Elephas maximus indicus: one gene and its partner. The protein of the gene in region 2 interacts with the protein of the main gene of each other region in a biochemical or structural test. Links are inferred from orthologs where the notes say so. Each region holds a gene or a part of one and is shown on either strand. Other genes may lie near its edges.

What was found. The genes of interacting proteins can lie anywhere in the genome.
Region 1: the proteins of RAD51 (region 2) and EVL form a complex in vitro, tested with the Homo sapiens proteins (2 studies listed by BioGRID and IntAct). The link is inferred for Elephas maximus indicus from reciprocal best matches to the Homo sapiens genes RAD51 and EVL.

Annotation. Positions count from the first base shown.
Region 1 is NC_064828.1:113,344,660-113,352,267, reverse strand, and holds the start of EVL (ena/VASP-like protein), read left to right. Parts: upstream 1-4,587; 5' UTR 4,588-5,397; coding exon 5,398-5,420; intron 5,421-7,608. UniProt on the Homo sapiens protein: Ena/VASP proteins are actin-associated proteins involved in a range of processes dependent on cytoskeleton remodeling and cell polarity such as axon guidance and lamellipodial and filopodial dynamics in migrating cells.
Region 2 is NC_064828.1:15,332,624-15,340,306, reverse strand, and holds the start of RAD51 (DNA repair protein RAD51 homolog 1), read left to right. Parts: upstream 1-4,662; 5' UTR 4,663-5,066; intron 5,067-7,683.

The DNA.
Region 1 (7,608 bases), about 98 Mb from region 2:
TCATCCCCACAGCATCCCCACTGAGTAGGTGCTATCTTTCCCACATTAGGTTGAGGAAACTGAGGCTTAAACTGGTAAGCATTTGCCCAAGGCTCCTCAAGTGGGTAGTAGTAGGGCTGGTTCAGAGCCATACCATTCTATCACTGCTTGTGGAGAGAAGGGAGAAAGCACTGTGGACGGGGGGACAAGGGGATCCAGAAATGGAGGTGGGATGAGTAAGTGTGCCAGGGCTCAGCGAGGAGACAAGCCTGGCCACCAGAAGATTCTGGTTGGCAGCTGTGGAAAACAGACTGAAGCATAGAACAGGTCAGTTTGTGGAGTTGCTGAGTGCCAAGCTGAGGGGCTAGATGTTGTTCTGCAGACAGTGAAATAGACTGGTGGGGTTTGAGACTGGAAGGTGCCAGGGCAGGTGACCGTGTGCAGGAAGGGAGTCAGACTGGGAGGGAGACCAGGTGGAGATGGGCAGGGTCTGCGTTAGAGTGGTAGAAGTGAGACTAGAGAGAAGGGGACTGAAGTAGGCCATGGAGGACCCTGTGGAGTGCTTCTTGTCCCCACTCAGTCCCTGCTCATTTGAAAGATCCTTGGTTGGGCCATGAGAAGAGAAGAGTGCTTTTAGTCATGAATGTGTCTGATCTTCAGGTAGGACTTCTACCATTTCATCTCCACGCAGCCCTACAGTGGATGTGCATAGCTAGAAACATCACGAGCGTTTGAACTCTGGATTCTGCTCACACACGCTCAGGCTTACTGTGCTGCACACGCATCATGGATGAGTTCCTACAACCCAAAAATAGTGGGAGAGGAAAACAGGACACAGAGACTTAAACTCCCAGGTTGTCGGTCTGCACATCAACTGTAACGGGACTCATACCAACAAGCTATAAGTGCCCTTTCTTGGAAAACTGACCATTTTATAAGAAAACAGGAGCCCTGGTAGCACAAGAGGCTAAGAGCTCAGGCTGCTAACCAAAAGGTTGGCAGCTCACATCCACCAGCCGCTCCTTGGAAACCCAATGGAGCAGTTCTACTCTGTCCTGTAGGGTTGCTGTGAGTCAGAGCCAACTTGATCACGGGGGTTGGGGTTTTTTGGTTTGATATGAAAAGACATGTTGCTTGCAAAACTAAGGTACATGCTAAGCTAAGGACACTTGTTTCAAATGTTCCCAGTTGTCAGTGACCTAGGGTCCCTCCACGTTAATGACTGTGCTTTGTTCAGTATCTCCATGTCTGTGTTTTTCTGAGAAGCCTCCGGAAGTGTGCATGTCCAGTACTTGCAGTAGGGGAGTGTTCTGCCAGGTCAGCAGGGGCAAGTCAGGAGGCTTTTATTCTTAGGAATGAGACTGGAAAGAGGAAGTGGACCTAGATTACCCAGGGTGAGCATGCTGGCTTTAGCTCTAGAGCCCCACAGAGTATCAGTGCCGGCGGGACCACTGGAGTCATCTGGGCCAGGTGTTCTCAGGCAGACTCCAGGTTTGTCTCTAGTGGAGAGTGGAAAGGCCTAGCAGCAGGGGCTCTGTGGCTCTGCCGCCCCTTCTTCAAACAGAACCATCCACTGTCATCAGTTTTATGTATTGAGGTTCCAGGTAGCTGCTATCTTAAAACACAAAAGGCTAAGAAGTGAATATCTGGCTGTTCCTTCCTGGTAGAAAGGGAAATTAAGTCCCAGAGTAGGAACCTATTTTGTCTGAGTCCTGAGACATTGAAGATGACCTTGAACGACTTTTTAAATCATTGTGTGGTGATAAAAGTCCTTTATTGGGCCTTATTCTGGAGAGGAGTGGAGCTGTCAGGCATCATGGACCCTCATTTGTGACACCCCGGTTTCTGACCCTTTGGTGTTACCAGTAGTTGAGATGTCAAGGATCTGTCTAGTCTTGGAAGCAGGCTGTTTTCCCATCTGGTCCCAGCCCTGTCTCAACTCTTATTTCTACCCCTTACTTCCTGGGGCAGCTGAGGTACTTTTTCAGCCTTTAGAGGTTTCTTGCCTGGCTGTGAAATTGGGGATTAGACAGAGCCAGCTGGATAAAATAGCCCAAAAGGTTCACAGTATCCCAGCCCCTTCTTGGGTCACAGGCTGCCTAACAGTCTGTTGTAAAGTCTTCTTTTAGAGCCGGCCTGAGACAGATCATTGGTGTTAGGATGCCAGCGGGACACAGGGGTCCTGAGGCACTGCTCTGCTAGAACACCTGTATGACTTTGGGCGACCACTTTGGCCTCTGTGTCCTTATTAGCATATTGGGGAATCTCTAAAATTATGTCTAAATTGCTGCTGGCGTTTGGAGATTTTTCACCATTTCTATCAACTCTCCTCTCTATTAGGACCTTGTGAATTGCCTCAAAAGGTATAACCAGCTCTCCAAGAGGAGGTTCTTGAGTCACTGGTGAAAGACAGGCATGGACTAGAGGTTCTCTGTTCAACTGGGCCTTCCACTACACTGGGCCTGCCTCGTAGGCACTGGCAAGGCCTAAGCAGATGAGAACAGTTCCCAGCAAAGCAGTTACTACCCTGTCCTTGAGTTTGTGAAGTATTGGCAAGGTGATGCCCTGGTATCTTCTTTCCCTCCAGATGCTTATGTCTGGTTGATGTCCAACTGCCCCTTACCCATCCCACCTATGACTATACCCAGGTAAAAACCAAAAAACCAAACCCAGTGCTGTCGAGTCGATTCCGACTCATAGTGACCCTACAGGACAGAGTAGAACTGCCCCATAGAGTTTCCAAGGAGCACCTGGCAGATTAAAACTGCCGACTCTTTGGTTAGCAGCCGTAGCACTTAACCACTACGCCACCAGGGTTTCCATACCTAGATAGTTTACAAATAAAAATATCATATAGTTACGTTTGGTCTGGCCAACTGCTCTTGCTAACTCTTGGGTAATCTCTACTGCTTTTTGTTTTTTAAACCTAGGATTTAGGACTGGGACTAGACATGATGGATGGGTGGATGGATGAGTGGGTGGGTGGATGGGAGTGGATGAATGAGTGGATAGGTGGATGGACGGGTGGGTGAGTGGATGGGCGGATGGATGGATGGATAGATGATCTCCCCTTTCCTGAGAATCACAGCACAGAAATATGTTGCTGCCCCCCAAGATGGAAATGCACTACCAATGAGCAGATGGACACTTCAGTGAGGAAGGGGACCTCACCATAAAGAAGAGCACCCAGAAATCAGGGCTGTTCAGCGAGAGGCTGTCTTGTGAGATAATAAAGACCATGAGGAATGTCTGTGTAGCTTTACTTGCCTGATAAAGAACTTCCAGCCATCTTGTGAGAGAGGTGTGGCCAGTGTAACCCTTATTCCAGTTTCACCTGTGCAGAACCCAGTGCTCAGAGAACTTAAGGAAACTGTCAGCAGTCATGGAGTTTGTAAGTGGCAGACCTGGGACTTACAGCCGGGCTATTTAATGGCTCCGAGTCTCCCATGTTTTCTGTCATATCAGGATTCTGCCAAGAAGCTGCTGTCACTAGACAGTCTCAGGCAGACACCTGTCAGGAATACTGGCGAAGGCATTCCTCCGTCAGCTTAGTCGATGATTGCTATATGGTTTGCGGGACCCCAGGATTCCCCAAAATGTCTCCCTCACTAGCCAGTCTGCCTCCGTTTGCCTTTATGACTTCGTTTCTTTGAGTCAAGCTCCAACGCTAGCTTCTCAGAGAGCAAGCGAGCGAGCTGGGTGGAGAGGGCGTGTTCACCCGGAGCACCTTCATGTGAGTACATGTGCTAGGTCAGGTTTCCCCCGGATAGAAAGCAGGGCAAAAAGAGGCACACTCAGGAAACCTTTTTAAGTAACTCTGCTTTGTCGAGGCCTGCCCAAGGCAGTGGGAATACAGAAATGAATCTCACACAGTCCCTGCCCTGACAGAATTCGTGGATCTGTGGGGGAGGCAGAGAGAGTGCTGTGATCGGTGCAGTTGGACCAGAGAGGAGTGAGAGCGGCTAACTGTCCCTGGGACTCCTCCGGGCCCTGGGCAGGAGCAGGCAAGGGACAGTGGGCAGCATGGGGGAGCGGGGGGAACGTGGAGCAATCTGACCCAGGTGGCCCAGGCACCCAAGAAACGGAGTCCTGGCATATTCTGGGATCTGTGGATGTCTCATGAAGAATTTTAATGGAAGAAAGAGTAGGAGAAATCCGTTTTGACTTCATGGGGGCGCCAAACTAATGCAGGGCTCAAATGGGGCGGGGGATCAAGGCCAAATTTAGGACAACTGCTCAGGCAGAATTTTCAAGAAGGGACGCCAGGAAGAAGACTAGGAAGGAAACTGAGACATTAAGTGAGAAATTTTGAAGATATGAGCTGAGGCAGTTGGGGTGGGGGCGGGCAGGACCGGTTCAGAGGAGCCTTTCTGAGACAGAATTGGAGTTAGTGACTGGTTATATTTGTAGTGTGAGAGAGAGAAAAAAGAGACAAGATGACTCACGGGTTTTTATTTGAGATTTGTCTCCCTTGTTTTATAAAGATTTGCAGCCCAAGTGCTGGAGAATCTCCGCAGTGGCAGGTTTCGGAATACCTCCTCAGCCCACTGCCAGATCTGGCCAGCTTGGGCTTCACAAACTGATAAACATTGCTCTCTTTTTTGGCTGACATCTCAGTTCCTTCTTCTTAACTTCTGTTCTGAAATTATTACAGCAATTACTGCACTTCAAGGAACTGTTAAGAGCCCGGTACACATTCGACACTCAGTAAATGAATAATCAAATAAAGGAGACACTAGCTCTGAGTGACAGCCAAGGTCATGTTATTCATGGTAAAAGTGGGGGCGTAAAATGTGACTTTTGTGATCCTGAAGCATCTTAGGCGTTTGTGCAAAACAATGTTTGGTAGAGGGACGGTAAGGTGCCGAATTTTAAAGACTCTCGCCGTGAGCTGCCTTTCCATGTGGTGCAGCCCAGGTTTCACTGTGTACCGTTTGTGCTTACGATGTTGGTCATGCCTGATCATTACAGCAGCCGCCACGGGAAGATGAGGTAATGAGGTCGACCACAATGGAACAGGTTGCCTCCTCGTTTCTTTAAGCTGCAGAATTCTGGTGGGGGGAGGTGGGATATCTTACCTGATTTAACCAGGATCCCGGCATGCCCAGGTCTGGCCGATTTCCCTGGACTAATCCAGCTCCCAGCCTGGAGTCTAGGCATACACTGCATTCATCAGACTTGCTGGAATGATCACATGGTTTTCTAGCTGCCTCCCCTGTTAGCTGCCGCTTGTCAGCAGCTGGCGGAGCTGGAGGCTGCAGGCCCCTGTCTGCAGAAAACCTTCTACTTCAGAATATTGGGGGGTGTGGGAGCCCGCCTCTTTTTTCCGGCACTTCACCCCATCACACTGACTAAATGGTTGTCCTCCGTACCAACAAGGCTGCCAGACAACCCGAGGAAGCTGTCTCTGACTAGGTCATGTTTGCATTTGAAGAATTCAGGTACGTTCTGGGGTTTCTACATCAGTGTGCTGCTGGGTTTTTGTTCTCACTGGGGTTTTGCTGTGTAATGATGGACAGCTTAGGCTCTGGTTGGTTCTCACAAAAAAGGGGTTTTCTCTTCGGCATTTGGTGGGGTGATCCTGATTGTGGGAGGTGTAGAGGTGGGCCAGGTCAGGGATGCTTACAGCATGCAAAAGTGCAGCATGGATAACTGGTTTTATCCTGTGCAGATTTGCCAAGACCCCACCTTGTGCCTCATGGAGCTGCTGTTTCGGGTGTGGAGTTACGAATACAGAATAGTAACTGTTTATCCAGAATGAGTCTCTCGCTATCTTTTGTGTTTCTTCCTTTGTCAAGCTCACGGAGTCTGTTGCCCCTTGTAAAAACGCCCATTGTAACAGTGAAGGTGAAATGTTCCGTAAGTCTGTCTGCAGAGTTGAGATGTGCTTTTGGCTCTGATTTTCCCCGTTATTTTTAACAACAATCTAGCGGCTGGGTGGTTTTCTGGGACGTGCCCTGATGATGTTTTGTTAACAGGGTCCTTTGCTGTTGCAGGTCTTTCAGCTGCTCTAACTATTAATGCCCCAAATTAGAGCCTTTGTGAATCTCACCCCTCCCGTCTCTTTCTTCTCTTCTGCTGGAGTCCGTCCCTGGGTGTGAACGTGGGAAGGGATGTTCCAGCAGAGATAGTTTCTAAGAAATGAAAATAGAGGAGGCGGGATAGGAGGGCGATCAGATCATCCCTGTTCACGTCTCCATCTCTTTGGAGCGTATGCACCTGCGTCTGCTTCCGACCTCTGGCAGCTTCTCGCTTTTCAAATAGAATTTCTGTACCTTTTAGAACTGAGCAGAAATACCATATTGATGGGCAAAGAGTGATCGTGCAGGAACCTCGGTTCCACCTCTCCGGGCCCTCTTTGTTCCCTCCAAATGCTGCTGCGGTAAGACATGGCGATGATAATAGAATAACCACCATTTATTATTTGTAAGAGGAAACTGGAGCCCTTTTAATCGATCGGGGCAGTAGATGAGCGGACGGTTTGGTTTTCTAAAGTAGGGCTGTAAAGGTTGTCCCGCCCTTTTCTGTAAACTTGGTGCTCCGGGCCCAGGAAGTTACCCTTGTCTCAGAGTAAGCCTCTGCATTATTTCCAGCAGACTGGGATTGTGAAAAGGAAATGCTTTCCATGTGGCACCATGGTCCAGTGACGTGGGGCCTGTGCCCTTACATAGGATCATTCCATTAGATAATTAACAATAATTTATTTCCTGCCTGCCATGCTACAGTGGCTAGGCTCTTGGGGAGTGAATCAAGAGTCCTGGGTTCTAATCCCAATTTCAGAAGTAGCTTTTCTGATCCTTGAGTGAGTTATGGAAGAGTTTTGTAAATGTTGGAAGTGGTAGCGATTGTGAGGTTCATATTTCATTGTTAGCATTTATTTCCAGACAGAGTAAGCTGTAGCTACCTCCTTAAAGACAGCTTGGAACCTTTAATTTCATAGTTGGGGAAGAGGGCATATGTATTAACAAACCCATTCCTATTGTGGCGGGGTCCTCGCCTGAGAGCCAAGAGTGGGCCTGAGGGACTGGAGAGGGTAGAGTTAGAGGCCACTGAACAGGTGAATTGAGAAAGAGAGGCCATGGTTGTGGAAACTAGACTCAGAAGGGGAGGTCTGTTCCATCCCCAGCTGTAGGCCTCTGCTTAAGTTGGCCCTAAGTAACTTTGCTGAGTATGCTTATATTTTGTGACTGCAGCATGGTACCAGACAAGTGGTTTCTTCTTTAGTCGTGAGGTTTGTATGCATGGGGCCAGGTGATCAAGGTGGGAAACATAGGGGCTGTGTAGGAGCTCAGCTTGTTAGCTTCAGTCACAGTGGTTCTCAAGTGTTAGCATGTGTCACAGTCCCCTGGGAGGCTTGCTAAAAGTCATGTGGCTGGGCTCTACTCCTGGACTTTCTGATTCAGTAGGTCTGGGGTAGAGCCTGAGAATCTGCATTTCTTTTTTTTAATTTTTATTGTGCTTTAAGTAAAAGTTTACAAATCAAGTCAGTCACTCACACAAAAACTTATATACACCTTGCTACATACTCCCCCTAATGAGACAGCCTGCCCCCTCCTTCCACTCTCTCTTTTCATGTCCATTTCGCCAGATTCTAACCCCCTCCACCCACTCATCTCCCTCCCGGGAGGA
Region 2 (7,683 bases):
TGTAATCTATGGGAACAGACTGCCACATCTTTCTCCCACAAAGTGGCTGGTGGGTTCAAACCACTGATCTTTCGGTTAGCAGCTGACCACTTACCCACTGCACCACCAGGGCTCCTTGGTATAGCTATAGAATGGAATATTATTTGGTAATAAAAAGGAATGAAGTACTGATACACACTACATCATGAACCTTGAAAACATTATGCTAAATGAATGAAGCCAGTCACAAAAGACCACATTATATGATTCCATTCGTAAGAAATGTCCGGAACAGGGAAGCTATACAGGCAGAATGACTAGTGATTACTTTAGCCGGGAGGGAGGAGGGAAGGATTAAGAAGATAGACAGTGATAGCTAAAGGGTAAAGTCTTTCTTTTGAAGTGATAAAAAATATTCTAAAATTGACTGTTGTGATGGTTGCACCTATCTGTGAATACACTAAAAACCACTTTGAAGGGTTAATTATATAGTATGTAAATTATGTCTAAATAAAGTTTTTAGTTTTTTTTTTAATGTGATTGATTTGGGGTCAGATAAACACTGTTGGCCCAAGCAGTTGTAGCCAGAAAGGTCAAAGTCATGATTCCACTCAGGAAGTTGGGACTGGGTTTGCAGGTGCTCTAAGAGTGTATGTGAAGAACTGGAAGTTAAGGTCCAGTATCATCCACCAGTACAATCTGTAATCACTTAGGTAGGTTGATACTACCTCCAGAATGCTTCCTGAATCTGTTCCCTGTCACCGTTCTAACTTAAGCCCTCATCTCTTCCCTGAAATAATGCAGACTTTCCTAACAGCTTTGCTGGCTTCACTCTCACTCTGTTGACCTCTATCCTTTACACAGCGGCAGGATAACAGTGTCGAGGATTAAATGAAAACTTTGTAAACTTTTAAAGTACTCTACAAATATAAAATGGTAAAAAACCCACCCACTGCCATCCAGTGGATTCCAACTCATAGCAACCCTATAGGACAGAGTAGAACTGCCCCATAGAGTTCCCAAGGAGCGCCTCGCGGATTTGAACTGCTGAGCTCTTGGTTAGCAGCCGTAGCACTTAACCACTATGCCACCAGGGTTTCCGTATAAAATGGTAGTTGGGGGAAAAATAAATCTAACCATATTACTCATCTGCTTAAAAACCTTCAGTGAGTTCCCCATTACCTAAAAGAAAGAGCAAAGCTCCCTAGAATGGTCTTCTGTTTCTTCATGTTGTTGTTGTTGTTGTTAGGTGCCATCAAGTTGGTTCCAACTCATTGTGACCCTATGACCAAAAGAATGAAACACTACCAGTCCTACACCATCCTCACAATCGTTGCTATGTTTAAGCCCGCTGTGTCAATCCATCTCATTGAGGGTCTTCATCTTTTTCCACAACCCTCTACTTAACAAGCATGATGTCCTTCTCATAGGGATTGGTCTCTCCTGAAAAGATGTCCAAAGTACGGAAGACAAAGTCTCACCAACATCCCTTCTAAGGAACACTCTGGCTGTACTTCTTCCAAGACAGATTTGTTTAGTCTTCTGGCAGTCCAGGGTATATTTAATATTCTTCACTAATACCATAATTCAAAGGCATCAATTCTTCAGCCTTCATCATTCATTGCCCAGCTTTCCCATGCATATGAGGCAATTGAAAATGCTGTGGCTTGGGTCAGGCACACCTTAGTCCTCAAGGTGACATCTCTTGCAGATTTGCCAAGTAAAATGAAATCCTTGACAACGTCAATATTTTCTCCATTTATTATGATGTTGTTTATTGGTCTAGTAAGAATTTTTGTTTTATGTTGAGATGCAATTCGTACTGAAGGCTGTAGACTTTGATCTTCATCAGTAAGTGGTTTAAGTACTCTTCACTTTCAGTAAGCAAGGTTGTGTCACGGGCATGTTGCAGTTTGTTAATGAGTTTTCCTCCAAACCTGATGCCACGTTCTTCATATTGTCCAGCTTCTCAGATTATCTGCTTAGCATACAGCTCGAATAAGTATGGTGAAAGGATACAACCCTGATGCACACCCTTCTGGATTTTTTTTTTTAACTTTTATTGTACTTTAAATGAAAGTTTAAAAATCAAGTCAGTCTCTCATACAAAAACTTATACACATCTTGCTATATACTCCTAATTGCTCTCCCTCTAATGAGCAATTCCCTCCACTCTCTCTCTTCTAGTCCATTCAGCCAACTTCTGACCCCCTCCGCCCTCCCATCTCCTCTCCAGACAGGAGATGCCAACATAGTCTCTTAAGTCTACTAGATCCAAGAAGCTCACTCTTCACCAGTATCATTTTCTATCCCATTGTCCAGTCCAATCCCTGTCTGAAGAGTTAGCTTTGGAAATGGTTCCTGTCTTGGGCTAACAGAAGGTCTAGGGACCAAGACCACTGGGGTCCTTCTAGTCTCAGTCAGACCGTTAAGTCTGGTCTTTTTCTGAGAATTTGGGGTCTGCACCCCACTGCTCTCCTGCTCCCTCAGGCGTTCTCTGCCTTTCCTGATTTTAAGCCACACATTATCTCCTTGTTCTGTTTGAATGACTACCTCTTGGTCTATGTACAGGTTTCACACGAGTACAATGAAGTGTTCTGGGATTCCCATTCTTCGAAATGTTATCCATAATTTGTCATGATGCACACAGTCAAATTGAGACAGGCAGCCTCAGAGCTCAACACTTCAAGGAGATAAAGGCAGCCTCAGAACTCAGCACTTCTGAGAGACACCTCCTCTAGCTTATCCTCATTGAGCAAAATAGGCTACACATTGTTTTGAAACTGTCCTTGACAAGATAGCTACAGAATGGGCCAAGAACTGTCCTTGACAAGATAACCAGAGAACAGCCTTAGTGGGCCCCAACTCGTCTTAGCAGGCTTTTATGCTATCTCAACTCCAAGCGACCTATTAGCTCATTAAGTGCAAAATACATATAAGCACCCCGCCGGAGAATTGAACCCTTGTCCATAGAAAATGCATAATCACCTGAAGCCTCGAGTGCCTGTGCGAAGGTCATTCCTGAATATTCATGATGAATTTGCATTTCCTTGTCTGCTCTCTGTAAAAGCCCACCTCCCTACGCTGCCTGTGAGCAGTCTTGGAGGCAGCAGCCCCAATTGCTCCTTTCCTTGTACATGAAAATAAAAGCGTCTTTCTGATCTCCCACCTCAGCTTATTGGCTATGACAAGTCACGTTGAGCAAAACCTGGGATTTTCACCCAGCAACAAAATGCCTTTGCATAGTTAATAAAACACAGGTAAACCTCTTTCTTGCATTCTCTGCTTTCAGCCAAGATCCATCGGACATCAGCAATGATATCCCTTGTTCCACATCCTCTTCTGAATCCGGCTGGAATTTCTGGCAGTTCCCTGCCAGTGTACTGCTACAGCTGTTTTTGAATTATCTTTAGCAAAATTTTGCTGTCGTGTAATATTAATGATATTGTTCAATAGTTTCTGCATTCTGTTGCGTCACCTTTCTTGGAATGGGTGCAAATATCAATCTCTTCCAGTCAGTTGGCCAGGTAGCTGGCTTCCAAATTTCTCGACATAGACAAGTGACTGCTTCCAGAGTTGAATCTATTTGTTGAAACATCTCAATTAGTATTCCATCAATTCCTGGAGCCTTGTTTTTCACCAGTGCCTTCGGTGCAGCTCAAACTTCTTCCTATAGTACCATTGGTTCGTGATCATATGCTACTTCTTGAAATGGTTGAACATCGACTAATTCTTTTTGATACAGTGACTCTGTGTATTCCTTCCATCTTCTTTTGATGCTTCCTGCGTATTCACCATTTTGCCCACAGAATTCACCAATACTGCAACTCCAAGCTTGATTTTTTTCTTCAGTTCTTTCACTGGAGAAATGTGGAGGATGTTCTTCCCTTTTAGTTTTCTAACTCCAGGTCTTTGCACCTTCCTTTCCAGTTTCAGCACTTGTTATGGCAACTACCCTCCCTCTTCAAGCAATGCTATTTCTTGAACAAGGCGTTCATTTCCATGACCATTTTGCTCTACCAGCTATGTGGGCCACCTCTTCTTGGCCTGAGAAACCTTTCTCATTTTTTAAGACCGGGGTCACAGGTCAAAAATTCTGGTAAACCATGATAAGGTAAATCTTACCAAAATCAATGCCTCTTTCCTCTGAACCCACTGCCCTCGAGTCATTCCGATAGCGACCCTATAGGCAGAGTAGAACTGCCCCATAAGGTTTCCAAGGAGCAGCTGGTGGATTCGAACTGATAACCTTTTGGTTAGCAGCTGTAGCTCTTAACCACTGCGCCACCAGGGTTTCCGCTCTCCTCTGGGGTCCTGTAAATCTCTCGTAAAACACCACAAATTTAGACTATACTATTCCAGTCATTTCGTTCTCCCCTCCGAGGAGCGCTATATCCATCTCGGACTTCCTCAACTCCACCACCTGGCTCTGGAAATTTGACTTATGTCAGTGGCTTACAGCAAACGAAACTGCCAAAAGGTCGCACCAGGCACTTTTGGCTCTCAGGGGTCAGGTTACGTTCCAGAGATGGGTGTGGAGGCGCGGAAGCCGCGGCGCCCGCTGACGGTGCATGCTGGGAGGTGTAGTCCCGGTCCGACCACACCGTCTCGGGAGTTGTAGTCCTCCATCTGGTAGCGCTCTCCTATGGAGAGAAAGAAAAGAATTTAGTCCTAAGAGAAAAAGGATGAGGCTGAACGATAAAACCATGCAAGTTCCTTGGGCCAATGTCTCCGGCTCTCGAGCAGCGGCCGAGGCGCCTAGAAAACTGCTCCGCGAAGGGCGGGGAGACGTTACGTGGAGGCGGGCGTGACCCTGCCCAAGAGGGTTTGGCGGGATTTCCGAAAGCCGCGGGTCGAGCGCGCTTTGTGGTTGATACGGAGTCCGGGGAAGACCTGAGACGCGCCCGAAGACGCGTAGTTGGGAGCCTCGCCTCGTCTGGCTCGTACGCAGAAGGCTTAAGCAAAGGAGTAGAGAAGTGCGGCGCAAGTGAGGGGCCGGGGGGCCGTCAGGAGTCGCGCGCTCGCTAGGCCAGCGGACGGCAGTCGGAGCGCGCGGCCCGCCGGAGAGAGCAGCGCTGCAGGCTGAGGTGAGTGTGTACGGCGCGGACCCGGCCCCTTTCACCGCAACGGTCGGTCCCCGCGTTAGTAGGCTCGGGCCCGGGCCCGTGCTGCCGTCACCAGCCTCCAGGGCCCCTCAGCACTAAGCGAGGACTCCGGTGATGGCGGAACAGGGACATGCCCGGACCAACAGTCCTCGGAGCTCGTTGAGGAGAAGACAGAAGCGGATCCCAGTCTTTAGAGCTGGGAAGAACCTTAAACACTTTCATACCTGATACTGATTTTATGGGTCAGGAAGCTGAGACGCAGAGAGGTGTACTGACTTAGTTAAGTTCACAGCTATTTAATGTCAGAGTCGGGTTTTCTGGATCCCTGTTCACTCCTCTTACCATTACGTCATGTTTTGCTTAGAAACGTCCGGCTTCTAATTGCCAGAAAGATACTTCTGCTACCTGACGTGGCAGAGCGTTCACGTGATACCTAGAGGATGATCTGAAGTGAGGTTTTTTCTAAACTTCTGCAGTAAAGTGTAATATAATAGAAGTGCCCCAAAGAGTTTCCAAGGAGCGTCTGGTGGATTCGAACTGGCACCTTTTTGGTTAGCAGCCGTAGCACTTATCCCTATGCCACCAGGGTTTCCAAGTGTAATATAAAAAATATATATATATATATATAGGAAAAAACGCAGATCACAGAGGTTTACAGCTTCATGAATTACTACCAAATGAATATATTTGTGTAATCACAAACAAAAAACTCCATGCCGTGGAGCTGATTCCCAGACATAGTGATCTTTATCCTAGGAAGGAGTAGAATGGCCCCATAGGGTTTCCAAGGCCATAATCTTTTAATTTTCATTGTGCTTTAAGTGAAAGTTTACAAATCAAGTCGGACTGTCATACAAAAATTTATAAACACTTTGCTATATACTCCTAATTACTCTCCCCCTAATGAGACAGCACACTCCTTCCCTCTGCTCTCTGTTTTCGTGTCCACTTGGCCAGCTTCTGACCTCTTCTACCCTCTTATCTCCCCTTCAGACAGGAGATGCCAACGTAGTCTCATGTGTCTACTTGATCCAAGAAGCACATTCTTCACCAGTATCGTTGTCTATCCCGTAGTCCAGTCCAATCCCTATCTGAAGAGTTGGCTTTGGGTATGGTTCCTGTCCTGGGCAAGGCCGTAATCTTTATGGAAGCAGATTGCCACATCTTTCTCTCCAGAGGAGCTGACGGTAACAGAGAGTTCTTAACCACTGGGACACCAGAGCTCCTGAGTGAAACAATGCTGTATACATATGCTTTTGTGGAGCCCTGGTATCCCAGTGGTTAAGAGCTCGGCTGCTAACCAAAAGGTCGGCAGTTCGAATCCACCGGCTGCTCCTTGGAAACCCTATGGGGCAGTTCTGCTCTGTCCTGTAGGGTCACTATGTGTCGGAGTTGACTCCATGGCAATGGTTTTATATTAATTTGTGTCTGGCTTCACTCAACATGTCTGTAGATTCATACATGTCCCTGTGTATAGCAGTACATTTGCTGTATAGGGTTTCTTATCAAGTCTACCCATGGTGGACATTCAGGTTGTTTCCAGCCTTTTTACGAACATTCCTGTATATATTTGATAAATATGCGTATGCTTTTAAGTTGGTTAATATACACAGTATTAAAATTCCTGGGTCATGGCATTTGTCTATTTTCAACCTTTACATTGAATGCCAAATAGTTTTCCAAAATAGTTGTACCAGGTTATACTCACACCAGCAGTGGATGAGTGTTTAGTTGTTCCACATGCTTGCCAACACTTGATATCATCATTCTTTTTAATTTTCGCTATTCCTATGGGCATAAAATATCTTACTGTGGTTTTAATTTTAGGTTTATTACTCATGAGGTTGAGCTCTTGCTCATACGTTTATTGGCCATTTGCTTATCTTCTATAGTGAAGTGTTCAAATCTTACGCCCATTTTTCTATTGAATTGTCTTTTTCTTACTGATTTGAAAGAGTTCTTTAAACATGCTGGTTATCAGCCATTGGTTATATATATGCCAAATATTTTCTCTCACACTATGGTTTGACTTTTCATTCTCTTAATGGTGTCTTCTGATGAATGCAAGTTCTGAATTTTAATGTAGTCCAAGTTTTCAGTCTTTTCCTCAATGATTATTGCATTTTGTATCAATTTAAGAACTCTTTCCCTATTCCAAGGCCGTAAAGATATTCTCCTATATTCTAAAAGATTTGTTTACCTCCTAATTTAGATCTATAATCTAAATTGGAAATTAATTTTTTTCTGTAGTGTGAGATAGGGGTCAGGTTCATTTTATCCTATCCAATCAACTCAGCACTGTTTATTGAAAAGACCATCGTTTCCCCATTTCTCTGCAGTGCCATCTTTTTCATAAATTATGAAGGGAAATGTTTAAATTTAAATTGCATCCAAATTATTTGGATATGTTGAATTATCATAGATTCATAGTATGTTAAATCTGCCATCTAAGAGATCTGTACCTAAACCAATCAAGACAAATGATCATCTTTCGTCAAGTCTTCAAGAATAGAGACTTCATATCTCTTATCTTTTGGATTAAATTTGTCCTGGTATTTGTCCAGATTCTTTTGATGTGATTTAAGTAATTTTATTTTTA